Stegostoma tigrinum: one gene and its partners. The protein of the gene in region 4 purifies or fractionates together with the protein of the main gene of each other region. This does not show direct contact. Links are inferred from orthologs where the notes say so. Each region holds a gene or a part of one and is shown on either strand. Other genes may lie near its edges.

Region 1 (7,150 bases), on a different chromosome or scaffold from region 4:
AAACTCGAGCATTATAGCAATGTTGATTCAGCTGGATTGTAACTGAATCTGAAGTTTATTACAGAGTAACTACAAAAATGTGTATTAATTGTAATTCTTACCAAGTTCAACAGGGTAAATCTGTATATTTACATCAAGAATCAGGTCCATTTTAAAGGATTCACTTTCACAATGTAAGCGAGAAACTGTAAAAATGACACAGAAGTTCTATTATATGCCCAAAGGTATCTAAATATTGCTTTTACTGATCAGTTTATCAGAACTATCATTCACAATCAAACACTATCTTTTTGTAAGAGTAATATCTTGTTAAGATTGCATATTTATTGTCAATTAATTTTTTTTGTATTATAGTATATTCTCCCTCATTAAAAATACACAAGATTCACACCAGCCCAAAGGGCAACAAATTAATTCAAGCAGAAAAGCCAAATTTAGGCAAGAGTATATTTTGTTCATCATATTTTAAAATTGTTATGCATTATTACTTAGCATGGAAGCAAACATGGAGGTGCAGTATATTTAGTGCAGTGTACAAAGACTTCAAGGAGTATTTGACAAGATGTCACGTGAAAGAATATTAAAGGAGATAACCGAGCTTTGAATGAGGGGAGAAGATAAAAAAAAATTGGTCAAAAGGAGAACTGTAGGAGTTGGGGAAGTTTGGATCATTCTGGTAAAGGCTTAGTGGTATTTTTCATAGTACAACTGTGGATGCACTTATCTTCACTGCATTTATCGATGAACTGGATGTAGGAATAGAGAAAGCAGTGTCACATTTGCACATTGAAAAAAATCCTATTTTGAATTAAACAGACTAAAAGGAACATATTATGCAATGTTGTTAAATTGGAGAATGTATGAAAAATTGGCAGGTAGAACACAACAACATGCATTTAAACAACATTGTTAATTTGGGAAAGCATACCAGCATTAACAAAATTTGGCACCGGCCACATCAGAAGACAGTAAGTTGGACAATCAAAAGATTGGTCAGAGTCATGTTTTGGAAGCATCCTAAAGGATAAATGAGAGCTAGAAGACAGAGGGAGATTTAGAAAGAGAACTCTTGAGCAAAACGTAAGGCGCAACCACAAATGAAGTAATTACAAGATAATATTTGGTTTAGAAGGGGTGGACGCTTGGAAGTTGTTTCCGTTAGGCGGGGAGACTAGGACCCGTGGGCACAGCCTTAGAATTAGAGGGTGTAAAATTAAAACTGAAATGAGACGACACTTCTTCAGCCAGAGAGTGTTGGGCTTGTGAAATTCATTGCCGCAGAGTGCAGTGGAGGTCGGGACGTTGGATGCCTTCAAGGCAGAGATCGACAAATTCTTGACCTCAAAAGGAATCAAGGGCTATGGGGAGAGTGCAGGGAAGTGGAGTTGAAATGCCCATCAGCCATGATTTAAATGGCGGAGTGGACTTGATGGGCCGAATGGCCTTACTTCCACTCCTTTGTCTTATGTTCTAAAATCAGGGAAGCTCAAAAGGCCAGAAATGAAGAAATGCAGGCATCTCAAAGGGTTAAAATTACAGTGTTCAGGATGAGTAGGCTAAGGATCTGAAAAGAAGGATGTGAATTTTAAAATCAAGGCATTGCTGAAACAGCAAACAAAGTAGGTCAGTGAGGACAAGAATGATATGAAAAAAAGAATTCTGTGCAAGTTAGGCCACAAGCAATAGAAGTGATTTCAAGTTCACAGAGGACAGAATATGGGAAGTCAAATAGGAAGCCTTCTCACTAATCAAATTCTAAGGTAACAAAGTTATGAATAAGAATTTAAAATGCAGATGAATTTAGGCAGATAATCGCAAAGCATGAAGTGATGCATTCTAGTTAAAAAACAAAATTATTTTTCAAACAGAAGTTGTTTTGTTGTTGAGGAAGTGCAGAAAGATGTAAGAGTATTATGGCTCCACAGCTAATTAAAAGCAGCACATCAGTAAAAGCAAATTATAATGGAAATTTAAGTTTTTCCATACAAGATATATTGTAAATAAAGCAATAGGTACTAATGTCAATTGTATATAAGTGATAACAAGTCATTAATGCCCATGAGAAAATACAAAGGTTTAAAAATTGGATACTGGCTTGATAGGACACATATTTGATGCAATACAATATTAATTTAAAATTATTAAAGAGTGAAGCATGTTTTTTGAAGCTTTTTCCACCAATTTAATGGAACGGTACCTGTCCTGTGTCTATTTTCTACAGCAGAAGCTGAATTACAGTAAGTAGAAACAACCTAATTAATAAAGACTATTCTTCATGAGGAATATTATTGGAATCCAAATGCAAAAGAAGTTTTTTTTTTATTTGTTTCGAGGCTGTGGGAATTCAATTCCAGCCACATTCATGGTTGGGGAAGGGCCACATGCGTGTTGAGACTGAATAGTGAAAGTAGAACAGTGAATAAAACGGTCGGTGTAATAACATCCCTGAACAGCTTGATTAGAAAATTAGGTTTAATTAAAAAAAATGTAAGGATAAGAACAGGAGGTGTAAATATGATCTGAATTATTGCCTGCTATGGAAGCAGTTTGGGTTTGCTCGGTCCGAAATGGGGCTTTTGCAACTTTCCACAATTGCAGGAAAACACATATACAACATCACAGGAATTGGTCGTAGGAGTAAATCAATGAACTAGATACTAGTATTAAACGAAGCACTGGAAGACTGTAAAAAATGCTAGTTAGAAGTGGAGGACGAAAGCTGAATCACTCTATTCCCTTCCCTATGTTGGACATGAACTGCCTGAACCCATTCATTTGGGGAACTCGAACACCCAGGAAGCAAAGGCAGCAGGTCTCATCTCTTTCCCTTACCTCTGTCAAACTTTACACCTTCCGGGTCAATATCCTTCACATCAAAGATATCCTCAAATAAAATTCCTGCCATCCTTGTACAAATAAAATTACTGTTAACTTCTAGCAAACACAAGCAAGAGAATTTCAAACTACTGCCAAACAGGCCACGACAAATCTCTCGGAGTATGCCGGGATACTGGCAGACCTTCCCTGCCTCCCAGTAGATTGGCAGCAGCTCTATGTGAGTATATGACCGCAGTTCCGCCATCTTTAATCAAGGCATTGCTTTGTGTTTCAGTACATGGGGTTTACTGAAAGGTTCTTTCTCCTAAACGTAAATAAACAAGCTTAGTTCTTTTAGGTCTTTATATTTTGAACAGTTTCTTAAACGTTGATGGAAACATATGAAAAATACGACAGGCACTGTAAATCTGAAACTTATAAATTGTTTGGGACTTCTCTGGGTCTGTTAGCCAGCTATGGATTCAGAAATAGCATTAACGGGCTGTCTCTTCGTGCGGCCTTCAAGACCAAGTCCACACTTGCTAGTAACCAAGGCTGGGCTCAGCATTCTTCCTGGAAGCAGCATCCACCCACATTTGTCCACCGCCTGCAACATTCACTCATTCCACCAACACGCAATAAAAGCAGTATATGCCGTCTACAAGATGTACTGCTGCATCTTGCCAAGTTTTTTTGGACCAAAACTTCTCCCTGTGACCCAGCAGGACAAAGTCAACAGGCACATATGAGAACATCACAATCTACAATTTCCCTTCCAAGTCACGCCATCCGAACGAGGAAATATGTCATGTTTCTTCACTGTGGCTGGGACAATATCCAAGAACTTCTGTACTGTGGGTGTGCTGACGACACACAGACTGCTCTCAGACAAATAGCCAGGCCATAAATGCTGGCCTTGACAGCATTCTTCACATCCTATGGAGTAATAAGATGATGAATATAACTGGTTTCCTTGCCAGCTTCACCACATTGAGCTGTCAAATTGAAGAGTCAGTGGAAAAACTGTTGCCATTGCTCCTCAAGTCTTTCCTGGTGAAAAATTTCAGCTGTCCAGCTTCAGGCTTTGCCTAAACAGAATCAGAGCTTGCCTTTCCTGTTTTGGGTGTCAGTACAGACACATTCCACTGGGATAAGTGATTACCAACTGAAAGCTTAGTGAAAGCTCCAGCACTGAAATCCATATCTAAGAATTGAGGAAGTTCTGAGCAAGTGGAAAATACACCACTTCTCCTAGAGACTGTGGTGAAAGGTGTCATTGACAGTTGAAGAGGTGGCAACTATATGAAAGTTGAAAGCCTCAAGCAAAGTTTTTGGAGTATGAAAGTGCTTGATTACAGGTTTTTGTGGGAATTGTCTCCAACTCTGCTATAATGCTTAGTACCAACTTCATATAGTTAATGGTTAACGAGTTTTGAGAAGATTTGTAGCTCAGGTTGAGGTTCTGGATGTGAGTTTGCTCGCTGAGCTGGAAGGTTAGTTTTCAGACGTTTCGTCACCATTCTAGGTAACATCATCAGTGAGCCTCCGACGAAGCGCTGGTGTTATGTCCCGCTTTCTATTTATCTGGTTAGGTTTCCTTGGGTTGGTGATGTCATTTCCTGTTCTTTTTCTCAGGGGATGGTAGATTTAATCCCAACCCAAGGAAACCTAACCAGATAAATAGAAAGCGGGACATAACACCAGCGCTTCGTCGGAGGCTCACTGATGATGTTACCTAGAATGGTGACGAAACGTCTGAAAACTAACCTTCCAGCTCAGCGAGCAAACTCACATCCAGTTAATGGTTAATGCTGGAACTTTGAGAGTCAATGCAGCACTTGAATAGTTCCTCCAATAGGAGGCAGTCAGCAAACTTTCAGCATTTTACCTTGATGAACGCCAAGGTTTTTGCTCAGAAGGCTCTCTTAGGTTACAAAATTTGGTAGCTTCTAACCTGTCCCGAGTCTGATTCTGAGGTGTTGTACAATCTTGTTAATGTCATTCTACCAGTTATCAGGCTGAGAATTGTGCCAGCGGACCCAAAATGCAACACAAGGGTGCTTGGTGTCAGCCAAGATGCAGCTGCTACTACGTTTCCAGGCATCAGTGCCAACCCATGCTCTGTCTCTCCTACAGCAAGAAAAACATCCTGTCTTTGTGGGATACTGCAAGAGGTATTTCTCTTGCATCAGCCTTAACAAAGTAACAATAAAAGTAAAATACTGTGGATTAAGGAAATCTGAAATAAACACAGAAAATGCAGGAGAAACTCAGCTGGACTATCAGCATCTGTGGGCAGAAGCAGAGTTAGTATTTTGAGCCTGGCTATGCCTCTTCTTCAGAACTATAAATAAAACTGATGAATTGTCCTAATTCTGGACAAGAGCAGGAAGCAACACCAAAGGCATCATCAATACATCAGAGATAGAATTGTGAGTGGGAGCCTGAGTACAACTGGAAAAAGGAATGATTCCAAACACTACATTAGAGAGATGGCCAAATCCGAGGCCCGTGCAAGTATCAATGAGCTTCACCTTTGACTTGCAGTAAATCAGATGAGTTAAAGGAAACGTTGTTCAAAGTGAGAACAAGCTCAGCCAGGTGAAGTATGATGGTATTAGCTTCTTTTCAAGGGAGAAAATGGAGAGCCTTCAGACCATCCTGATGGGGGATGGCTTTGCTAAGGCCTTTAATGCCCATGGTGAAGAAGAGGTGGCTAGGACCATCATTATAGAACCAACATAAAGCATCAGAGGAATCATGAATGGAAGTTGAAAGACACTTAACAAGGAAGGGTAAAAATAGAGTCAAAATAAGAAGAAATAAGTTCAGTGGAGTAAGAACAGGCTAAAATGATGGGCCTGCCTCGGCAGTCCTGATTGTGGATTTTGAAAAGCGGGTTATACGTGGCTGGGGGCCTATGAATTGGGAGCTGTGAAGGAGAGATCTCTGAAGGAGATGAGGTCAGTGATAGTCCTGGAGACTACAGCCCGATGTTCAATGATCAATGTCAGGTCATGATCCAGGGGGAGATAGGAGGAAGTGTCTGAGAGTTGGCACTCTGCCAGGTACTAGTTAGCATGGCAGATGACAGCCACTCAACCGTTATTGATAGTTTTGATAACAAGACCTGAGAGAACGGAGTTCAGCAAGTTCAGAGGGAGATAGATGTGAGTGGGTGAAGGGATTAGAGAAATTAAGGTGGCCAGTGTCACACCAGCAGTTCTCAATGAAGAAATGAAGAGCTTGCAAAAGACCAGACAGAGGAGTCCAGGTGGAGGGGATGCATTGGAGATAGGGGAAACAGCCTTTGTGGCTGGGAGAGGATTCCTGTCCAGGGTCATGGGCACAGAGACAAAGACAACAAAAGAAGAGTTTAGCACCATGTTGTGCCTGAAATTCATTAAGCTGGTTACGTCCCTTGCTAAGCACAGTTCATTCAGCATCAGAGAGGGGAACATAGGAGTTAGGAGTATGAGTAGGCAATTCAGCCCTTCAGGCCTGCTCCACCATTTAAAATGATCATGGCTGATCTTATCCTGGTCTCAATGCCGCTTTCCTGCCTGCTTCACAGTTCCCTTTCTCCCGCTTTTCATCACAAACAGTACTATTTTTTTCTTGAATTTGTTAATTGATTCTGCCTTCACTGCAATCTGGAGCAATGAGTTTCACAGAATCACAACCCTATGAGAGAAGTAGTTTCCCCCATCTCAATTTTGAACTTACCTGCTCCCATGCTATATCTATGACCTATTGTTCGAGACTGTCCCACAAGAAGGAACATACATCCAACGTCCACCTTATTAGTCCGCTTTAGCATTTTATATACCTCAGTCAAATCCCACCTCATTCTTTTGAACTCCAGTGAGAAGAAGCCGCAGCTATTCAACCACTCCTTGTATGACAGCCCTTTCATCCCTGGAGTCAACTTGGTGAACCTCTTCTGAACTGTCTCCAGTGCCACTACATTCTTTCTTGAGCAAGAAGACCAAAGCTGGACACAACACTCCAAATGTGTTCTCACTAACACCTCATATAATTGTAACAGCACTTCTTTACTTTTATAATCTAGTCCTCCTGCAGCAAATGCTGGGATTCCATTTGCTTTTCTTGTTATATGCTGCACCTGCATACCCACTTTCTGTGATTCATGCAGAAGCACACTCAGATGCCGCTGCACTGATGCACTTTGGATGTGCTTCCCAATTAAATAATAATTTGCCCTCTTATTTGTCGGGCCACTTGGACACCCTTGCATTTATCTACATTGAACTCTATCTGCTAGATTCTGACCATTCTCCTATCCTATCAGTATCCCTCTGTAAATTCTTTA
Region 2 (7,956 bases), on a different chromosome or scaffold from region 4:
CAAGCCTCCGAACAGCATCCCACCCCTCTACCCTAGTCCCGTAACCCGACATCTCTCATGGTTAATCCACCTAATCTACACATCTATGCACACTAAGGGGAATTTAGCATGCCCATCCACCTAATCTGCACATCTTTGGACTGCAGGAAGAAAGTGGCACATCCCACAGGAAGGTGACAGCTGCAGCCACAGGAAGAATGTGCAAAGGCCAGACAGTTGCCAAAGGCTGGAGCTGAACCTGGGTCACTGGCACAGTAAGGCTGCAGTGCTAACCACCGAGCCACCGTGCCACCCTCAGACCAGACCAGGTAAAAGGTAGATTAAATCCCCGGGACCTGATCAGGTGTACACTAGAACTCTGTGAAGGGCGAGGGAAGTGATTGCTGGGCCCCTTGCTCAGATATGTGTACCATCGATAGCCACAGGGGAGGTGCCGGAAGACTGGCGGTTGGTTAATGTGGTGCCACTATTTAAGAAAGGTGGTAAAGGAAAAAGCAGGGAACTGCAGACTGGTGAGCCTGACATTGGATGTTGGAGGGAATTCCGAGGGACAGGATTTACATGTATTTCGAAAAATAAGGACTGATTAGCGATTGTCAACATGGCTTTGTGAGAGAGAAATTGTGTCTCAATGACTTAATTGAGTTTTTTGAAGTAGTAACGAAGAGGACTGATGACGGCAGTGGTGGATGTGATCCATATGGATTTAGGAAAGGCATTTGACAAGGTTCCTCATGTGATAGCAAGGTTAGATCACATGGAATACAGGGAGAACTAGTCATTTGGATACAGAATTGGCTAGAAAGTAGAAGACAGACGATGAAGGTGGAGGGTTGCTTTTCAGACTGGAGGCCTGTGACCAGTGGTGTGCAAGAAGTATCGCTGCTGGTTCCACTGCTTTTCTTCACAGTGCAGGTTCATAGTCCTTGGAAATAGATTTGAATGTAGATAGGATAGTGAAAGGAGTGTTTGGTAAGCTTGCCCTTATTGGACAGTGCATTGTGTATAGGAGTTGGAGGTCATGTTGTGGCTGTACAGGACATAGGTTCGGCCACTTTTGGAATACTCCATGTGATTCTGGTCTCCCTGCTATGAGAAGGATATTGTGAAGCTTGAAAGAATTCAGATAAGATTTACAAGGATGCTGTCAGTTTGGATGAATTGAGCTATAAAGAGAGGCTGAATGGATTGGGACTATTTTCACTAGATGATGAGAGGCTGGGAGGTGATCTCAGAGGTTTATAAAATCATGAGGGGCACGCATGAGGTAAATAAACAAGGTCTTTTCCCTGGGGTGGTGGAGTCCAAAACTAGAGGGCACAGGTTTAAGGTGAGAGCGGAGAGAATTAAAAAGGGACCCAAGGAGCAGCATTTTCATGCTGAGGGTGGTGTGTGGATGGAATGAACCGCCAGAGAAAGTGGAAAAGGCTGGTACAATTACAACATTTAAAAGGCATCTGGATGGGTATATGAATAGGAAGGGTTTGAGGGGGATATGGGCCAAAAGCTGACAAACAGGGTTAGATTAATTTAAGATATCTTGTCAGCACGGATGAGTTTCCTTGCTAAACATTTCTATGACACTATGAGGTACAAATGGCAGATTTCATTTACCAACCAAAGCAGCGAAGTCAGACACTTGGGGAGCGAATAGGAACATGATCAGTCAAATCAGAAACTGGGTGGAGTATAGAATGATAAATTATGTCTGAATGTGATATGCTAATAAAAGTGATGCAATGTCACATGGTCTTAGTCTCCACTGCAGCCTCAGGACCAAGATGAAGCCATAGCAAGATGATTATTAAATAATGTTGATGTTTTCCTTACCTGAGGCTCTGTAAATATTATTTAGTAGCTCAACAAGACCAAGAGTATTGTAATAGATGCACTTACATAAACTGCTCAAAGAGTTATGGTATGTTTACAATTGATAAACATTATGCAAAAAGTACAATGATTGTAAATTGCAATGAATGACCCATGTGAAAACAGGACAGCAAATGACAATGTAATTGAAGATCGCAGAAAAGGAAAGTTTTCTCATCCTCATTTAGTTAACAACCGATCAGGGAGCTACTGGCACACTGTACATTACTTTAGAGTTTGGGGCTGCAGTCTTGCCTGAGTCAGGAACTCACTCCAGAGGCCTGAGTAAAAAAAAGGTAAATGACAACCCGAGTGCTGCAAATGCCAAAGAACAGTACTGGAGGAACACTGCATTACAGGAGGTTCAATATTGAGGTGGTACTGCACTGTTGGAGGAGACTGAGGGACTACCTTTCAAAAGATCTATTTGAGGAAAAGAATGGAAGGCGTCGTCCCTGGTATCTTGGACAACATTTACCTTTCAATCAAAATCAATAGAACAGAACATCGGGCAATTACCGTATTACGGTTGGCTATGGGATCTTGCTGTGCGCTTGCTAACTAGTGAGTTTCCTACATTACCATGGTGACCACACTTATTTAACTCATCGGCTTTGGAGCACTGTGAGGTTTCTATCCTCATCTCGCTGAGGTTGCGACTTTCCTCACAGGCTGCACAGTCCCACTCTACACCCAGCCCTACCTGATGCAATGAAAGGGGAAGAAGCTACTGCAGCTAAAGCCAGAGGTGCCGGAAGCCGCTCCCTCCCATCCTGACAGGCCAGCAGTTACCTCACCTGATGCAGGTACCCGGGCGGCACTCCTGACCTCGCCGACCACTAACACCACGGGGATGGAGCGGCCTCATTGGGGGATGGAGGTCCCAGGAGCCGGCCTGTACAGGAGACAGGGAGAAACAGAGGCAGGTCAGAAGCCGATTCATCACAGGGGAACCGCCTAAACTTCAGGCCGAGGCCGCTGACTTAATGCCAACTGGGGCCCGGCCAAACCCACAATCCTAACCCGAGTACTCACCACTGTCCCCAGCCGCCCGTTCCCTCAGGCGGTGCCGGCGAAATGGATGAAACTACCAGCAACCATGGAGCCGACACGTGGGTCACTCATATCCTCAGACCGCGTTCCATGGGTACGCTGGGTCCCCCTGACGGCCGGAGGACCGCGTTCCATGGGTACGCTGGGTCCCCCTGACGGCCGGAGGACCGCGTTCCATGGGTACGCTGGGTCCCCCTGACGGCCGGAGGACCGCGTTCCATGGGTACGCTGGGTCCCCCTGACGGCCGGAGGACCGCGTTCCATGGGTTCGCTGGGTCCCCCTGACGGCCGGAGGACCGCGTTCCATTGGTACGCTGGGTCCCCCTGACGGCCGGAGGATCGCGTTCCATGGGTACGCTGGGTCCCCCTGACGGCCGGAGGACCGCGTTCCATTGGTACGCTGGGTCCCCCTGACGGCCGGAGGACCGCGTAACATCGGTACACTGTGTCTCCCTGACGGCCGGAGGACTGCATTACATGGGTACACTGGGTCCACCTGATCCGCGTTTCATGATAATAAAATGTGAGGCTGGATGAACACAGCAGGCCAAGCAGCATCTCAGGAGCACAAAAGCTGACGTTTCGGGCCTAGACCCTTCATCAGAGAGGGGAGTGGGGAGAGGGAACTGGAATAAATAGGGAGAGAGGGGGAGGCGGACCGAAGATGGAGAGTAAAGAAGATAGGTGGAGAGGAGAGTACAGGTGGGGAGGTAGGGAGGGGATAGGTCAGTCCAGGGAAGACGGACAGGTCAAGGAGGTGGGATGAGGTTAGTAGGTAGCTGGAGGTGCGGCTTGGGGTGGGAGGAAGGGATGGGTGAGAGGAAGAACCGGTTAGGGAGGCAGAGACAGGTTGGACTGGTTTTGGGATGCAGTGGGTGGGGGGGAAGAGCTGGGCTGGTTGTGTGGTGCAGTGGGGGGAGGGGATGCACTGGGCTGGTTTAGGGATGCAGTAGGGGAAGGGGAGATTTTGAAGCTGGTGAAGTCCACATTGATACCATATGGCTGCAGGGTTCCCAGGCGGAATATGAGTTGCTGTTCCTGCAACCTTCGGGTGGCATTATTGTGGCAGAGCAGGAGGCCCATGATGGACATGTCATCAAGAGAATGGGAGGGGGAGTGGAAATGGTTGGCGACTGGGAGGTGCAGTTGTTTGTTGCGAACTGAGCGGAGGTGTTCTGCAAAGCGGTCCCCAAGCCTCCGCTTGGTTTCCCCAATGTAGAGGAAGCCGCACCGGGTACAGTGGATGCAGTATACCACATTGGCAGATGTGCAGGTGAACCTCTGCTTAATGTGGAATGTCATCTTGGGGCCTGGGATGGGGGTGAGGGAGGAGGTGTGGGGACAAGTGTAGCATTTCCTGCGGTTGCAGGGGAAGGTGCCGGGTGTGGTGGGGTTGGAGGGCAGTGTGGAGCGAACAAGGGAGTCACGGAGAGAGTGGTCTCTCCGGAAAGCAGACAGGGGAGGGGATGGAAAAATGTCTTGGGTGGTGGGGTCGGATTGTAAATGGCGGAAGTGTCGGAGGATAATGCGTTGTATCCGGAGGTTGGTAGGGTGGTGTGTGAGAACGAGGGGGATCCTCTTGGGGCGGTTGTGGCGGGGGCGGGGTGTGAGGGATGTGTCGCGGGAAATGCGGGAGACGCGGTCAAGGGCGTTCTCAATCACCGTGGGGGGAAAGTTGCGGTCCTTAAAGAACTTGGACATCTGGGATGTGCGGGAGTGGAATGTCTTATCGTGGGAGCAGATGCGGCGGAGGCGGAGGAATTGGGAATAGGGGATGGAATTTTTGCAGGAGGGTGGGTGGGAGGAGGTGTATTCTAGGTAGCTGTGGGAGTCGGTGGGCTTGAAATGGACATCAGTTACAAGCTGGTTGCCTGAGATGGAGACTGAGAGGTCCAGGAAGGTGAGGGATGTGCTGGAGATGGCCCAGGTGAACTGAAGGTTGGGGTGGAAGGTGTTGGTGAAGTGGATGAACTGTTCGAGCTCCTCTGGGGAGCAAGAGGCAGCGCCGATACAGTCATCAATGTACCGGAGGAAGAGGTGGGGTTTGGGGCCTGTGTAGGTGCGGAAGAGGGACTGTTCCACGTAACCTACAAAGAGGCAGGCATAGCTGGGGCCCATGCGGGTGCCCATGGCCACCCCCTTAGTCTGTAGGAAGTGGGAGGAGTCAAAAGAGAAGTTGTTGAGTGTGAGGACGAGTTCAGTTAGGCGGATGAGAGTGCCGGTGGAGGGGGCCTGGTCGGGCCTGCGGGACAGGAAGAAGCGGAGGGCCTTGAGGCCGCGTTTCATGAGTATGCTAGGTCCCCTGGCGGCCGGAGGTCAGTTCACTCAGGAGCACCAACCCATACGACAGCCGGAGGACCTCGTTACAATGGTATCAGTCTCTGCCTCCCTAACCTGTTCTTCCTCTCATCCATCCCTTCCTCCCACCCCAAGCCGCACCCCCATCTACCTACTAACCTCATCCCACCTCCTTGACCTGTCCGTCTTCCCTGGACTGACTTATCCCCTCCCTACCTCCCCACCTACACTCTCTCCACCTATCTTCTTTTCTCTCCATCTTCGGTCCACCTCCCCCTCTCTCCCTATTTATTCCAGTTCCCTCTCCCCATCCCCCTCTCTGATGAAGGGTCTAGGCCCGAAATGTCAGCTTTTGTGCTCCTGAGATGCTGCTTGGCCTGCTGTGTTCATACAGCTACACACTTTGTGATCTTGGTTGGGGGTGTGTTGAGTTCATGTGTACGTGTAATATGGTCCTCCGGCCGTAAGGGGCTCCAGTGCCTACCTAATACTGTCTCCGGGCGGCCAAAGGGGATCGCGGAGCAGACGTAAAGCAGTCATCTGGGCGCCAGGAGGACCCAGTGCACCATTGTAAAGAAATGTGAGGCTGGACGAACACAGCAGGCCCAGCAGCATCTCAGGAGCACAAAAGCTGACGTTTCGGGCCTAGACCCTTCATCAGAGAGGGGGATGGGGGGAGGGAACTGGAATAAATAGGGAGAGAGGGGGAGGCGGACCGAAGATGGAGAGTAAAGAAGATAGGTGGAGAGAGTATAGGTGGGGAGGTAGGGAGGGGATAGGTCAGTCCAGGGAAGACGGACTGGTCAAGGAGGTGGGAGGAGGTTAGTAGGTAGAAGATGGGGGTGCAGCTTGGGGTGGGAGGAAGGGATGGGTGAGAGGAAGAACCGGTTAGGGAGGCAGAGACAGGTTGGACTGGTTTTGGGATGCAGTGGGGGAAGGGGAAGAGCTGGGCTGGTTTTGGGATGCGGTGGGGGGAGGGGACGAACTGGGCTGGTTTAGGGATGCAGTGGGGGAAGGGGAGATTTTGAAGCTTGTGAAGTCCACATTGATACCATTAGGCTGCAGGGTTCCCAGGCGGAATATGAGTTGCTGTTCCTGCAACCTTCGGGTGGCATCATTGTGGCAGTGCAGGAGGCCCATGATGGACATGTCATCTAGAGAATGGGAGGGGGAGTGGAAATGGTTTGCGACTGGGAGGTGCAGTTGTTTATTGCGAACCGAGCGGAGGCGTTCTGCCTCTGCTTGGTTTCCCCAATATAGAGGAAGCTGCACGGGGTACCGTGGATACAGTATACCACATTGGCAGATGTGCAGGTGAACATCCGCTTGAGGTGGAAAGTCATCTTGGGGCCTGGGATGGGGGTGAGGGAGGAGATGTGGGGGCAAGTGTAGCATTTCCTGTGGTTGCAGGGTAAGGTGCCGGGTGTGGTGGGGTTGGAGGGGAGTGTGGAGCGGACAAGGGAGTCACGGAGCGAGTACTCTCTCCAGAAAGCAGACAGGGGTGGGGATGGAAAAATGGCTTGGGTGGTGGGGTCGGATAGTAGATGGCGGAAGTGTCGGAGGATGATGCGTTGTATTTGGAGGTTGGTGGGGTGGTGTGTGAGAATGAGGGGGATCCTCTTGGGGTGGTTGTGGCGGGGGCGGGGTGTGAGGGATGTGTTGCGGGAGACGCGGTCAAATGTGTTCTCGACCACTGCAAGGGGAAAGTTGCGGTCCTTCAAGAACTTGGACATCTGGGATGTGCAGGAGTGGAATGCCTCATCCTGGGAGCAGATGCAGAGGAATTGGGAATAGGGAATGGAATTTTTGCGGGAGGGTGGGCGGGAGGAGGTGTATTCTAGCTAGTCAGTGGGCTTGAAATGGACATCAGTTTCTAGCTGGTTACCTGAGATGGAGACCGGGAGGTCTGGGAAGGTGAGGGATGTGTTGGAGATGGCCCAGGTGAACTTGAGGTTGGGGTGGAAGGTGTTGGTGAAGTGGATGAACTGTTCGAGTTCCTCTGGGGACCAAGAGACGGCGCCGATACAGTCATCAATGTAACGGAGGAAGAGGTGAGATTTGGGGCCTGTGTAGGTGCGGAAGAGGGACTGTTCCACGTAACCTACAAAGAGGCAGGCATAGCTTGGCCACGCGGGTACCCATGGCCACCCCCCTTGTCTGTAGGAAGTGGGAGGAATCGAAAGGGAAGTTCTTGAGGGTGAGGACGTGTTCAGCTAGGCGGATGAGGGTGTCGGTGGAGGGGGACTGGTCGGGCCTGTGGGACAGGAAGAAGCGGAGGGCCTTGAGGCCATCTGCATTAGGAATACAGGTGTATAGGGACTGGACGTCCATGGTGAAAATGAAGTGTTGGGGGCCAGGGAATTGGTAATTCTGGAGGAGGTGGAGGGCGTGGGTGGTGTTACAGACGTAATTCGGGAGATCCTGGATCAAAGGGTAGAAAATGGAGTCCAGATAGGTGGAGATGAGTTCGTTGCGGCAGGAACAGGCTGAGACAATGGGTCGATCAGGGCAGGCAGGTTTGTGGATTTTGGGAAGGAGATAGAAATGGGCCGTGCGGGGTTGGGGAACAATAAGGTTGGAGGCTGTGGATGGGAGGTCCCCTGAGGTGATGAGGTCATGGATGGTGTTGGAGATGATGGTTTGATGCTCGGGGGTGGGGTCATGGTCAAGGGGGCAATATGAAGAGGTGTCGGAGATTTGGCGTTTGGCCTCAGCGATGTAGAGGTCAGTGCGCCA
Region 3 (7,222 bases), on a different chromosome or scaffold from region 4:
GCTTTACCATAACCGTGGGCATATGTATTATCACAAATTTGGCAACCTCTGCAGAGGTTGCTCCAAGCTGGTCAAAGAACCAAAATGCTGCTGTGATGAATACAGCCAGGATCAAGCTTCTGCCATGGACATCATAAAACAGCAGATCAAAAGCCACTGTGGAATACAGAGTGGCTCACAGAAACACTGCATTTGGCCCATCAAATCGATGCCAACTCTTTGCAGAAGCACAAAGTGATGTAACGCAAGCAGCCAGGAACAGAGTGCTACAAGAAGCAGACTGTGGTGCTGCCATTCTGAGGCAAATATTTTCAATCGACATATTCAGGGGATTGCCTTTTTCTTACATCTGCTGAGACTCCAGCTTCCAACAGCAAGGCAATAGCTGCCATGTAGCTTCAGCCAGTCTTTCAGTTGTGCTGTCTCACTGAATCTTACAGTACACAGCTCCAAACAACTTTTGTTTTGTTTACTTGATTCAATATTTTGAGACACTTGGGGTAAACATTTATACACAACACTCGAGAAACTGAACCCGTCTAAGACAAAGCATCCGACTGGATTTACACCCCAACCACAATCAAAAACTAGGGACGACCTTGGCAGAACTAAAAGGGGAGGGAGGTAAAATTAGGCTCGGATGTAAATGTTTTGCGTAGCTGGATGCTTTCCAACATCAAAGAGGATTTCGTGATAAGACCAGTCTTTGTGAAGCTTCAACTCCCCAGCCCCTCCAAATGGTCTTCCCCATCCCAATTTCCGCCATCCCCCAACACTCCTAACAACTGTCCCCTCCCTCCTCCTTTCCACCCAACATCCTATAGCTCCCCTTAACTTCCCTTCCCCACCTCTTCCCCAGCTGCTTTCTCTCCTCTCACTACTCCTTCCTAAACCCCTTCCTTTCCCTCCCCAATCCGTCCTTCCTTCCCTGTCTCCCCCTTCCCCCACCTCCTCTTCCCTTCCGCCCTCCCACAGTCCCCCATCTCTCCTTGCTCCCCAGCTCCCCTCCAGCCAATCCCCCTCCCTGCATCTCCACTGCCCTGCCAATATCCCCTCCCACCTGCCCCTTGCCAACCTTTCCCCCTCCCCCTCCCCCTTCCCATCCTTACCCACCTCCCCCTTCCCCAGCACCTCCCTCTTCCCCCATCCTACCCCTTGCCCCCTTCCCAACCTTACCCCCCTCCCACTTCCCCAGCTCCTCCCTCTTTCTCCGTTCTCCCCGCTTGCCCCTTTCCCCTCACCCCCCTCCTCCTCTGCCCCCCGCTTGCCCCCTCCCACTTGCCCAGCCCCTCCCTCTTCCCCCCACTTGCCCCCTCCCACTTCCCCAGCTCCTCCCTCTTCCCCCCACTTGCCCCCTCCCACTTCCCCAGCTCCTCCCTCTTCCCCCACTTGCCCCCTCCCACTTCCCCAGCTCCTCCCTCTTACCCCTGCTTGCCTCCTCCCACTTCCCCAGCTCCTCCCTCTTCCCCCTGCTTGCCTCCTCCCACTTACCCAGCTCCTCCCTCTTCCCCCCGCTTGCCCCGCTCCTCCCTCTTCCCCCCGCTTGCCCCCTCCCACTTCCCCGCTCCTCCCTCTTCCCCCCACTTGCCCCCTCCCACTTGCCCCCTCCCACTTCCCCAGCTCCTCCCTCTTCCCCCCGCTTGCCCCCTCCCACTTCCCCGCTCCTCCCTCTTCCCCCACTTGCCCCCTCCCACTTCCCCCCTCCCACTTACCCAGCTCCTCCCTCTTCCCCCCGCTTGCCCCCTCCCACTTCCTCCCACTTCCCCGCTCCTCCCTCTTCCCCCACTTGCCCCCTCCCACTTCCCCCCTCCCACTTACCCAGCTCCTCCCTCTTCCCCCGCTTGCCCCCTCCCACTTACCCAGCTCCTCCCTCTTCCCCCCCGCTTGCCCCCTCCCACTTACCCAGCTCCTCCCTCTTCCCCCCACTTGCCCCCACCCACTTCCCCAGCCCCTCCCTCTTCCCCCCGCTTGCCCCCTCCCACTTCCCCAGCTCCTCCCTCTTCCCCCCGCTTGCCCCCACCCACTTCCCCAGCCCCTCCCTCTTCCCCCCGCTTGCCCCCACCCACTTCCCCAGCCCCTCCCTCTTCCCCAGCCCCTCCCTCTTTCCCCCGCTTGCCCCCTCCCACTTCCCCAGCCCCTCCCTCTTTCCCCCGCTTGCCCCCCCCACTTCCCCAGCCCCTCCCTCTTTCCCCCGCTTGCCCCCCCTACTTCCCCAGCCCCTCCCTCTTTCCCCCGCTTGCCCCCCCCACTTCCCCAGCCCCACCCTCTTTCCCCCGCTTGCCCCCCCCACTTCCCCAGCCCCTCCCTCTTTCCCCCGCTTGCCCCCTCCCACTTCCCCAGCTCCTCTTTCTTCCCCCATTTGCCCCCTTCCCCACCTCCTCCCCTCCCCAACCTTACCCCCCCACTTCCCCAGCTCCTCCCACTTCCCCGTTCTCCCCAGTTGCCCCTCCCCCTCTCCTCCGACTTCCCAACCTCGCCACCCCCCACTTCCCAACCTCGCCCCCCCAGCTCCTCCCTCTTCCCTGTCCTCACCTCACCCCCCTCCTCCCTTTCTCCTTTCCCCGCTCCTCCTCTTCCCCCGTTCTTCCCCTCCCCAACCTTGCCCCTCTCCCATTTTCCCAGCTCCTACCCCTCGTCCCCTACCCTTAGGCACTCTCAGGCCTTACAGCTTCCTGGATCACTGGGCAGCAATTATCTGATGAAGGGTCTAGGCCCGAAACGTCAGCCTTCCTGCTCCTGAGATGCTGCTTGGCCTCCTGTGCTCATCCAGCTTCTCACTTTGTTACCTGATGAAGGCCTGTAATCCTCGAACCTGGCAGCACGGCCGCGAGCCCACACTGCTCTCGAGTTCTCCCCAAAGGCCGATTACCGCCTCTTTACTCTTGTTTCTTTTTCCCGTCTCGGTCCTCCAGCCGTTTCACGTCCGAGCGAGGCCGCTGTGAGCCGCCATGTTTGTACGGGGCAAATCCAGCTCTCCGCCTGCGCCCTAGGGGGTCAGGTGGCCGGCATTTTGCCCCGCAACAAGATGGCGCCTGGCAGCGGGGCGGCGCTGAAGGCAATGTTGCCGGTTCGTTCGGTGGGAAAGTGAAGAAACTGAATGAAAATTGTAGCTCTGCATTGATCTTGTTGCAAAGGAGCTCCAACGGAAAGCGAGTGACAATAGGGAGTATTACTGGGTAAAAATATGTAGCATCCATTGGAAGTGCGTCAACAGTTTTGTTTTGGGGCTCAGCTGTCAGCATTCCACTGATCTGATGCCATTTTCATGTAATGCATCAGTAGTAAATGTGTACAGAACCCCTAGAGCAGCTTGATTTTATAAATACAGAAATTAGGCACTAAAATTAAAACAAAGGACTGCGGACGCTGGAGATCTGATTTTTTAAAAAGTGGGGAACAAGTTGAGTTAACGTGTCGAGTCCAGTGACTAATTTGTCCGTAGTGCCCAGGGATGTGCAGGCTAGGTGGATCAGGCATTGGAAGTACAGGCTTGCTACGACAGGGTAGGGTGGTGTGTCTGGGTGGGAGGATCAATGTGGACTCGATGGGCCAAATGGCCTACTTCATCAATGTAGGGATTCGATGACTCTCCCCTCAGATACTGCCACAACTGCGAAATTTCAGCATAAATTAAGGCAAGGGTCCGCTAATCCAGAATAGCATTAATGGGGGAAGTTTAACTTTAATATTGATTGGGAGAGGCAGACAAGCACCGTCACACAGGTAGTGAATTTCCAGAGTGCATCTGGGACAGTTTCCTACAGCATTTGGTTCTGAATGCAACAAGGGGACAAACAAAATTTGATTTATTCATGAGTAATGAATCAGATTTAGTTAGTTACCTAATTGTGCACAACCGTTTATCAAATACTGATCATAACATGATTGAATTCGATGCAGCATTTGAAAGCATAAAACAGAGGCAGCTTTATGAGCAGCATGAAGAGTTTTACATTTAGGTAAGACTGACTTGAATGACATGACACAGAGACTATCCACAGTAAACTAGGCAAATCTGCTCACGAGTAAAACAACTAAAGAGCAGTGGAGGATGTTTAAAGAAACATTTAATACAAAATCAGTTTATACCGTCTGCTCTGGAAGATTAGGTTGCATGGAACCCAGGGAGATCTGGCAAATTGGATACACAGTCAGCTTGTTGATAAGAACTAGAGAGAGTAATAGTGAAAGGATGCTTGTCGGACTGGTGGCTAGTGGTGTGCCTCAGGGGCCAGTGCTGGGACCATTGCTATTTGTTATCTGTATCAATGATTTGATTGAGAATAGTAAGTTTGGGGATGACACGAAGATATCGTGGACAGTGAGGAAAGTTATCAGAAATTACAGCAGGATTTTGATCAGCTGGGGAACTGGGCTCAGAAATGGCAAATGGAATTTAAAACAGATAAGTGTGAGGTGTTGCATTTTGGAACGTCAATGCCGGAGTTTCATGGTGAATGGAGTGTAGTGGAACAGAGGGACTTGGGAGTTCAGGTGCACGGTTCTCTGAAAGTGGAGTCACAGGTAGACAGGGCAGTGAGAAAGGCTTTTGGAACACTGGCCTTCATCAGTGAGGGCACTGAGTATAGATGTTGGGAAGTTATGTTGCAGTTGTACAGGATGTTGATGAGGCTGCACTTGAAATATTGTGTTCAGTTTTGATCACCTTGTTATAGTAAGGATGTTATTAAACTGGAAAGATTGCAGAAGAAATTTACAAGGATATTGACAGGACTCAGCTATAGGACTGAGTTATAGGCAGAGGCTGGACAAGCTAGGACTGTTTACATTAGAGCGTAGAAGACTGAGGGGCTAACTTATATAAGTCTATAAGATCATGAGAGGCATTGATGGGGTGAATGCAATCAGTCTTTTTCCCTAATTTGGGGAATTAAGGACAAGATGGCACCAGTTTCAGGCAAGGGGGCAAGAATACATGGGAACCTGAGGAGCAATATTTTTACACAGAGTATGGTACGCATATGGAATGAGTTGCCAGGGGAAATGGTTGAGGCGGGTACATTAACAACATTTAAAGGCATTTGGATGAATACATGGATAGGAAAGGTTTGGAAGGACAGAGGCAAGTGCAGGGAAATGGGGTTAGTGTGGTAGGACATTTTGGTTGGCATGGACCAGTTTGGGCCGAAGGGCCTGTCTCCATGCTATCGGACTCTATGTCTCAAAGAGGAAAAGCTCCACTTCACATAAAAGTGGTCAAGAGACATAAAACTGAAATCAAGAGCTTACAAAAATGCAAAAAGAAACATAGATCCCGGTGAATGGGAAAGATACAAAGATCAGCAAAAGACCACAAAGCAACTTATACAAGCAAGTAAAAGGAACTGTGAAAGAAAACTTGCCAGGGATATCAAAATCAAAAAGAGGAAACATTATAGTTACATAAAGGGAAATTGGGTAGTCGGCAACAATTTTGACCCACTAAAGACTGAAAGTGGGAAGGTTTTTGAGATTTGTAGCTCGGATTGTACATACTCGAATAGCACATTGCGGCATTATCTCTGACAGGCCACAACAGAAAGACACAACACGGCCAGACACACTAGTCACCCAACCATACATTAGGAACATATCAGTGATGACCACAAGACAACTCAGGCCCCTAAGTATCAGGGTAGATCACAACCCAATAACCACCCTGCAACAGCAACTGACGAATGTAAAGGACCCCATTCCCACAAACAATACAACAAATGTAATATACAAAATACCATGTGTGAGAAACATTACATAGGCCAAATTGGAAGAAAACTGGCAATAAGAATACATGAATGCCAAGTAGCCACCAAGAGACATGACCAATTCTCACTGGTCTCAATGCACATGGAAAAAGAAGGGCACAGATTCGACAGGGACAACACATCCATAATAGCACGAACCAAGTAGAGACATGCCAGGGAATTCCTAGAGGCCTGGCAATCCAACCGGAACTCCGTCAACAAACACAGTGAACTGGACCCGATATACAAACCAATGAAGAACAAAACTGGAAGTCATACCACCACCCTACTAAACCAAAGCATATAAATAACAAATGGGTCAGAACACCAACGCTTCACTGTCAGCGCACTGACATTGTCCCCTAGCAGAGTGACGAAACATCTGCAATCAAACATGCTGGCTTGGAGAGCAAGCCTGCAACCTCACCGAAAGTGGGAATATTGTCAATGACCACTAGGAATTGGCAGACATGTTGAACAATTGCTTTACCTGAGTTTTTATGATTAAAAAAGAGAACAGCTTGCCATAAGTCTGAGAAAATTAAATGTGGATTGGGAACAGGGACTGAATAAAATTAATGTATGTAAATCATTGAGGAAATTAATGGAATTAAAGACTTATAAACTCCCAGGACCTGACGGTTTCTATCTAAGGGTGTTAAAGCAGATAGGAGAGTCCATTGTAGATGTCCTAACTATAATCTTTCAGAGTTCTCTAGATACAGGACTCATCCCTCTGGATTGGAAAGTTGAATATGTCACACTGCTTTTTAAGAAGGGCAAAAGACAAAAACCAAGGAATTACAGACCAGTTAGCCTAACATCTGTGTTGGGGAAATTGCAGAGGTAACTAAGGTAATTCTGGTCTGGACAAGGACAAATCAGGGTACTTTCTGGATGCTTAAATACAGTGTTTGTCCAAAGAGACTTGGGGTTCAGTTGCAAACATCTTTAAAATGTCATGAGCAGGCACAGAAAATAATCAAGGAACCTAATGGAATCCTGGCCTTTATATCTAGAGGACTGGAGTTCAAGGATGCAGAAGTTTTGCTATGGATGTACAAAACTCTGGTAAGACCTGCTGTGGGCATCTGAGAAAGAATATATTAACCTGAAAGGGGGTAAAATGTAGATTTACAAGAATGATACCTGGTCTTCAGAGTTAAGTTATGAAGAGACATTATACAAATTAGGCCTGTTTTCTGTTGAATTCAGAAGATTAAGGGATGACCTGATCAAAGGCTTCAAGATAATACAAAGAAAAGAAAGGGTAGATAAAGATAAACTATTTCCACTGGTTGGGGATTCTAGACCTAGGGGGCATGGCCTGGGAATTAGGGCTAAATGTAGGAGTGATGTTAGGAAGTACTACTACACTCAAAAGGTGTAGATGTTTTCAACTCTTTTCAAGTGGCAGTGGATACAGGATCAATTATTAATTTTAATTCTTATATGAATTTTGCTTAAGCAAAGGCATTAAA
Region 4 (6,879 bases):
GCTGTGAAGGCCAAATTGTTGAGCATATTTAAGATTGAGATAGATGGATTCTTGACTGGTAAGTGGGTCAAGGAAAAAAAGCAAGAGAATGGGCTGAGAAAATCAGTCATGATGAAATGGCAGAACAGACTCCGTGGGCTGAAAAGTCTATTTTTGCTCTGACTTATCGACAATGGAAGAAGCATGTATTTCACAGAAGTAGAAATACTTAGATATTTTGATCCAAATTATTTTCAATCTTACAAGTAATCTGACGGTTGTCAGCACAAAAGTTGACAACCTAATACTTACAACATATTTCTCAGCCATCGAGAGACCCTATTTGTGATCTCAGAGACTATTACCATTGTTTTCAAGTGTGAACACCTGACATCATTCCTGTGTCAATATGTGCGTCTCCAAGAGATCTTGAAATACTCCTAGCCTGCTGTTAAGTGGGTTACACATCCTTCATTTTACACTCATTTAAAACATGGTTCCATAACAATCCTCGTAGCTTATGATTCAAGCATGGATATTTGCTAAAACTTTGATATGCATAAAAAATGCTGTAAACTCTTAATACAAGTATTCATTTAGGTGTAATTTTCATTTTGCACACCAACCCTCCGATGTTAGTTTGTCTCAAAAACTTGAAGTCAGTTCTCCCTTTTACATAGATAAGGCGTAGAGCTGGATGAACACAGCAGGCCAAGCAGAGGAGCAGGAAAGCTGACTGACATTTCAGGCCTAGACCCCAAAACGTCAGCTTTCCTGCTCCTCTGGTGCTGCTTCGCCTGCTACGTTCATCCAGCTCTACACCTTGTTATCTCAGATTCTCCAGCATGTGCAGTTCCTACCGTCTCTTCCTTTTACATCACCTGATATCACTCATCACTAAACTCACTTGAACATTTGACAAAATACATTAGAACAGTAAGACATGAAATTACTCCTATTAAAGCACCTAATATATTATCAAGCAGTTATTTCTACATTTTGAAATTATTGCAATTGAGCTCCTGTTATGAAACTTTGTCACAGCAACACAAAGTGAAGTTAGTTTTGAATTACTGTACTAACTAGTCAAATAACTAAACAAAGTTTCCCCAATAGTTCAAAGAGAGTTTGTCCAGATACCAGCTACACAGATAGGGGGATAAATAGGTTCAGGGATACTGTTCAGGAAGGTGTACTCTTGTTGGCTTCACTGCCATTATGGGGTATGAAGCACAAGGTCTACTGACTCAGAGCTCCTGGCTATTATCGAGTGCCTACTGCTGAATGTGAGCATGTCAGAAGACAAATAGGTACTGGTAATACCTTCCAGCCGACAGTCACTGTCCGGTCTGTAGATAAATTATTACAGAAAGAAAGATGATAATTGAAAGCATGCTTGGACATGAGCCTATGGACTAGGTTTTATTAGGAAAATTCAAGTAGAAAACAGAGAAAGTTAGAAAAATAAGAATTAGAGGGAACTATAAACATTATAGAAAACTGAGTCAGATGAAAAGGTGACAGTCAGAACTGTCACAATGTCACACTGACATTATAAAAACAAACGAAAATATATGGCCAATGAGCTTCTCCACCATTCAGTTGCAGTTGGTTTTAGATTTCACCTCAAATCTCCTACCTGATTTCCATATCCTCTCATTCCCATGAAATGTAACATTGAACAGTCAAGTGACCCTACCGCATGATAGAGAGCAGAAAATTGCAAAGAGTCACAATCCAGTGCATGAGAAAATTCTTCCTGATTTCAGTTTTGATTATTGATTGCTTATTGTGATACTACTCTCCTCAATTCTGCATCTTGGGGAAACCTCAGCATCTACCTTGTCAGATACACACTAAATCTTGAGATTCAAAACATCAGAAAGCGAGGTCTATCATCTAAACAGAGATAGTTGGAACTGCCAATGCTGGAGAATCTGAAATAACAAGGTGCAGAGCTGGATGAACACAGGAGGCCAAGCAGCAGAGGAGGAAAGCTGACAATTCCAGTCTGGACCATTCTTCAGCGTCCAGGCCCAAAACGTCAGCTTTCCTGCTCTTCTGATGCTGCTTAGCCTGCTGTGTCCATCCAGCTCTACACCTTGTTATCTAACATCTAAACATTGTCACCTTTTTAAAAAATAATCATTCTGCTCATCTCACGGGAAAAATGAAATGAAACTCCCAGAAAGATGGGAGTATCATGACATTACACGCAAAGGCAAAAAGGTGACTTCCTGTTTCCACTGCATTGAGTTTAAAACTCTAATTCACGTTACGTACAGCAAATGTATTTTTCTCTCTTATAAAAATGCACACGCTTCGCTGACAGGAGATTTCTGAGCCGGACCAATCAGTGCAAACAAAAAGAGGCCGATCTGAATCACAACCCAGCCCAGATTCCGCTCGACCGGGCAGCGGGGTTCTGTCTGAGCCACCAGTAAATAAGGTAACAGCGGATCTGGGCAGAGGGGGCGGTGACATTTTAACCAAAACAGGGCGGGCCCCTACCAAACCAAAACCGGGGCCCACAGGCCGGTGCCCGAAAAAAAACCCGCTGCATCCGAGGCTCTTTCTCCTCGTCCTTCCGCCTGATTTTAATACAATGGCCGCCGCCGCCGCTTATTTACGGCCTTTACCTTTCCATGCTCTTCTCGGAGCCGTGAAAGAGTCAGTGGCTGGGACTGGGGCGGTTTGCCGGCGGCGGCACAAGGCCGATGCTGCGAGTCTGCCATTTCCTCCTGAGCCGGAGGCCGAGCGTGTGTTTGACAAACACTCAGGAACTGGGAGTCCTAAAGAAATGTTTATGCATGTGATAACTACAGCTGCACAACTCCTCACTCCGCGTCCGCATAGAGAGAGCAGGTCTTGTCATCCACACTGTCGGAGCGGAAAACATTTCACACTCGCATCATTCACCCAAGAAGCTCGAAGCGCAGCTTTCTTTTTCTCGACGACGCCGCTCGGTGTTAGCAAGACCCGCCGCCCCACGCCATCTTGCTTCGGGACGGTCCGGAGCACGCACCTGACACAGGAGGCGGGGCTGACTGGGCACGTGACATTAGGCCCGGGCCGCAACTGGAAACGTCACTAATGAGCACTTGACACCGTGAAGGGAGCTGCGCGTGCGCAAGATCTTCAGCGTGTACGCGCCGTGAAGTAGTGCAGGTGCAATGAGCAGGTATGAGGATTTGTTGTGAGGGGAGTCAAACAGGTGTGTCCCCCATGAACGTACTATCGTTGTTCCGTACACTGAAGGTTTCTTTTGCCTATGACTTCACATTAAGTTCATATGCGTAGTTTTTTAGAATTGTCTTTCATTTTAAAAATGGGTAAAATTCAGGTTGTTTAAGATGGCTACCGAGGTTGGTGACATCTCCAGAAAGAACCCGCTTAAGTATTCAGTGAATGAAGACTTCACTCTTGAATGGATGCACCTAGGTTAAACGCTGTGAAATTTATACAGCTGGTTCTTGGAGAATTACTCTCAACTTAAGTCAACCTCTTTGGACTGAACCTTACCAAGCTCTGGGCAACGTGGTCAATAGAAAGATAATTTGTAGATCGATTCAGGTGAGACGTTCAGCAAGGCCTTCGAACTGTGTTTGAGGGTGGTGGATAGAGAATCAAGTGACACACTGGAAACAAAGAGCAGGAATAATTGGGTCATTTTCTGAATGACAGCCAGTGAATAGAGGGATACTGCAGAGATCAGAGCTTGGACCCCAGCTACTCACAACATGAAGTAACTCAATGCAATATCTGCAACTTTGTAAATGGTACAAAGCAGGATGGGAGGCTGAACAGTGAGGATATTGCAGAGATGCTTCAGTGTGAAGAACTAAAATCAAAAAATGCTAGTGATCACAGCGTGACAGGCAACATTCATGGAGAAAAAGCAAGCTAATGTTTTGAATCTCGATGACTCTTCATCAGAGCTAAAAAGAAGTTTGGAGAGGACAGCATTTATGTAATAGGGCGGTTACAGTGCTGGGGAAGAACAAATACTAGTTGTTCAGATCAAGTGGTTGGAATGTGAGAATGACAGAACAATGCATGTCGAAGTACCAGACTGGAAAGAACAGACTGCTCCACTGGAGTGGGGAAAGGGGAGAGAGGACAGGATGACAGCATGTAACAAGCAAAGCTGAGAGAGAGGGAAGGAATGGGCTCACAATTTGAAGGTGTTGAACTCAATATTGAGCCCAGAATGTTGTAAAGTGCCTAGTTAGAAGTGAAATATTGCTCCTGCAGTTTTCACTGTGGTTCACTGGAGCACCACAGCATGCAGAGGACAAACAAGTGAACGTGTAAGCAGGATGCTGTGTTAAAGTGATTGGCTACGGGCAGGTTGGGGTTATGCTTGCACATGAACTGGAGGTGTACTGCAAAATGGTTACCCAGTCTGCATTTGGTTTCTCCAATGTAGAATAGGTCACACTAGGTGCAGCGAATACAATACACACGATAGGGGGAAGCTCTGGAGGAAATGCTGCTTCACTTGGAAAAACTATTTAGGCCAAGTGTGTTTTGGAGAGAGTTCATCTCGCCATTTGCTCCAAAAAGCCTCCATGTTGGATACTAGGCACCAACATCCTGTTAAAGACCATGGGTACCGGCCACATGCACCCCACATCATCTGTGATCCCCATGGCACATTTCGATCTATTTACAGGACTCTTCTGGATTTCAGTAATGCACCTTAGTCTGCACGAACACCTGTCATTGTAATGCTGCAGCAAGTTCACTTTGCTCAGGGACACATGCCTAGTTCATGGAATGGACTGTTTTTGGACTCTTTGTTTGTTATCAGGGTGTCTACTCTGAGCCTATCCAGATGCTCATAACATGCTTGATTTTCCTTTCCTTTGCTTTTTTCACATTACCGTTCAGCCAGAGATACCAGTCTCATCTTAAAAACAAAACCAGAAATTGCTGGAAAAACTCAGCAGTTCTGGCAGCATTGGCAGGTAGAAAACAGAGTTAACGTTTTGGGTCCAGCGATCCTTCATCAGTTCTGCAACACTCCAACTCCACTTTCACTTGAACCAATGCTCACTGACACCTCAGGTTCTGCAACACAATTAAGTTATCTGCTTTCCTCCATGTCATTTGCTGGACTACTGACCTCTAGGTGGGTGCTGAGCCTTCCTGTATTGGTACGGTCTACTGATGTTGAAACTGTGGGTGATCCTTTTTTGAGATAGATGGCAAAGGTGAAACCACACCTGGTTCTACCTGTCTGGACCTAGTTTGGACCTCACCAATCAGTGATACTCTGCTGAACTGTAGTGTGAATTTCTTAAGGAATCAGGGTCAGTGTGACCCTGGAACATCTTCAGCCTCCATCACTGACATTCTCAGTCTCAGCTCCTCAGTATCTTGATATCTGTGTAGTAGAATCCTGCCGACTGTGTCAAAAATGTCAGATGAAGTTCTAACACAAATAACGCAAAAATCATGAAACAGGGATATTAAAATCATTTCTTTATTTATTCTTTATCTTCTTGATTCCAGTGGCATCATGTCTTTACAACAGGAAGAGATATAAAAGATAAACAAACAACTGTTTATACTGTGTCCGGGGATTGACTGTGTGAATGACATTAGGCTGAGGAACTGCTTTTTCTGGCTTCTTTCTCATCAGCCCTCTCATTACCTAAGACATGCTTTCTTTGTCTATCTAGTTCTATTCATCTACTCCAGCTGCCTGTCTCAATGTCACTGCTTGCTGCCGGGTGTCTCTGAAAACTGCTTAGTTCCTTGCTCAGTGCCCCCATCACTGTTGCCACCTCTGCTTGAGCTCTTGTTACAACAAGAAACTCTGGCTGTTCATACCTTAAAGTTTTTTTGAGTTTTACTTTGAGTTGATGTTGCCAAACTCATATGATATGTTAGCCATTTTATTGTGAATATTTTACAAAGTAAAACCTTCATGTCTGTACTAGCATGACAGGTAAAGAGAAGCAGAAACACAAAAATAAAAGAATGAAATATGCACTTGCAGAGTTAATAGTTACTTTAATCCAAGCTTGGATAGACTGCTTTTGCTTTCTTTCTGCAATTTCATATGTCTTACTTAGAAAAAACAGTATATTACCTGGATATGACTTGTATACAGATAATCCAATTGAAGACAAATGACTGTGTGAGAGACTGATCATGCACAACATTTTATTTGAGACAAATGCAGGGAAGATTAGTTCAAGACTTCAAGAGTTTTCCATTAAATCCATTTCGAACAGGATTCATGCTATATTCAAAATGTAGTAAATTAAGTTAACTTATTGAATATAGTGGAGTAACAGGTCTTTGGTTACTGCTAAAATAACATTGTAGAAAAGTGCTATTTTTAAAATGGATCAGCATTTAACATCTTGTCTAAAATTCCATTTTTGTTTGAAGTAATGTTTTGATCATCTGAATCAAAATTATTGTTTGTTTCTCTGCCTCTTTAAGTTCCACTTTATATAAAAGTATTCACAATTAAACATACATCGTATCCTATTTTTCCCGCTTTGAGAAATATCCTTTTGAAGGTACAGATTAACATAAAACATGGATTTGAGAAATTCGTTCAGCCCATCAGGACCAATGCCTTTATTTTTACATATTTAATCTTTTAATTTTATAAACAGATGTTCCCTGATAACAATTTTGGTAATTTTATTCTCTGGTAAATATGTATCAGATTCTTCACCCTAACAAGTGTTCAGTCGTTGTTTTGAAAAGATGGAGTTGAGATCCACAGTCAGCCATGATCGTAGTCAGTGGTAGAGCAGGCTCAGTGCTTAACGTGCATCCTGTTGTGGAAGACAGGCAATATCACATCATTAGGTTAATATCCACCTATTGGAGAGGATTTTGCAAAACTTGAAAGATTTACAAGAATGTTGAGAG

The links.
Region 1: the proteins of uri1 (region 4) and polr2h purify together in Homo sapiens (affinity purification with mass spectrometry; 3 studies listed by BioGRID and IntAct, with this or other methods). This does not show direct contact. The link is inferred for Stegostoma tigrinum from reciprocal best matches to the Homo sapiens genes URI1 and POLR2H.
Region 2: the proteins of uri1 (region 4) and polr3e purify together in Homo sapiens (affinity purification with mass spectrometry; 4 studies listed by BioGRID and IntAct, with this or other methods). This does not show direct contact. The link is inferred for Stegostoma tigrinum from reciprocal best matches to the Homo sapiens genes URI1 and POLR3E.
Region 3: the proteins of uri1 (region 4) and polr3d purify together in Homo sapiens (affinity purification with mass spectrometry; 3 studies listed by BioGRID and IntAct, with this or other methods). This does not show direct contact. The link is inferred for Stegostoma tigrinum from reciprocal best matches to the Homo sapiens genes URI1 and POLR3D.

Annotation. Positions count from the first base shown.
Region 1 is NC_081367.1:41,069,227-41,076,376, forward strand, and holds the start of polr2h (DNA-directed RNA polymerases I, II, and III subunit RPABC3), read right to left. Parts: upstream 3,014-7,150; 5' UTR 2,906-3,013; coding exon 2,833-2,905; intron 186-2,832; coding exon 102-185; intron 1-101. UniProt on the Homo sapiens protein: DNA-dependent RNA polymerase catalyzes the transcription of DNA into RNA using the four ribonucleoside triphosphates as substrates.
Region 2 is NC_081376.1:34,159,507-34,167,462, reverse strand, and holds the start of polr3e (DNA-directed RNA polymerase III subunit RPC5), read right to left. Parts: upstream 3,016-7,956; 5' UTR 2,905-3,015; intron 2,765-2,904; 5' UTR 2,667-2,764; exon of another isoform or gene 2,662-2,666; intron 1-2,661. UniProt on the Homo sapiens protein: DNA-dependent RNA polymerase catalyzes the transcription of DNA into RNA using the four ribonucleoside triphosphates as substrates.
Region 3 is NC_081393.1:16,509,185-16,516,406, forward strand, and holds the start of polr3d (DNA-directed RNA polymerase III subunit RPC4), read right to left. Parts: upstream 3,006-7,222; 5' UTR 2,787-3,005; intron 1-2,786. UniProt on the Homo sapiens protein: DNA-dependent RNA polymerase catalyzes the transcription of DNA into RNA using the four ribonucleoside triphosphates as substrates.
Region 4 is NC_081369.1:32,684,908-32,691,786, reverse strand, and holds the start of uri1 (unconventional prefoldin RPB5 interactor 1), read right to left. Parts: upstream 3,023-6,879; 5' UTR 2,715-3,022; coding exon 2,619-2,714; intron 1-2,618. UniProt on the Homo sapiens protein: Involved in gene transcription regulation. Acts as a transcriptional repressor in concert with the corepressor UXT to regulate androgen receptor (AR) transcription.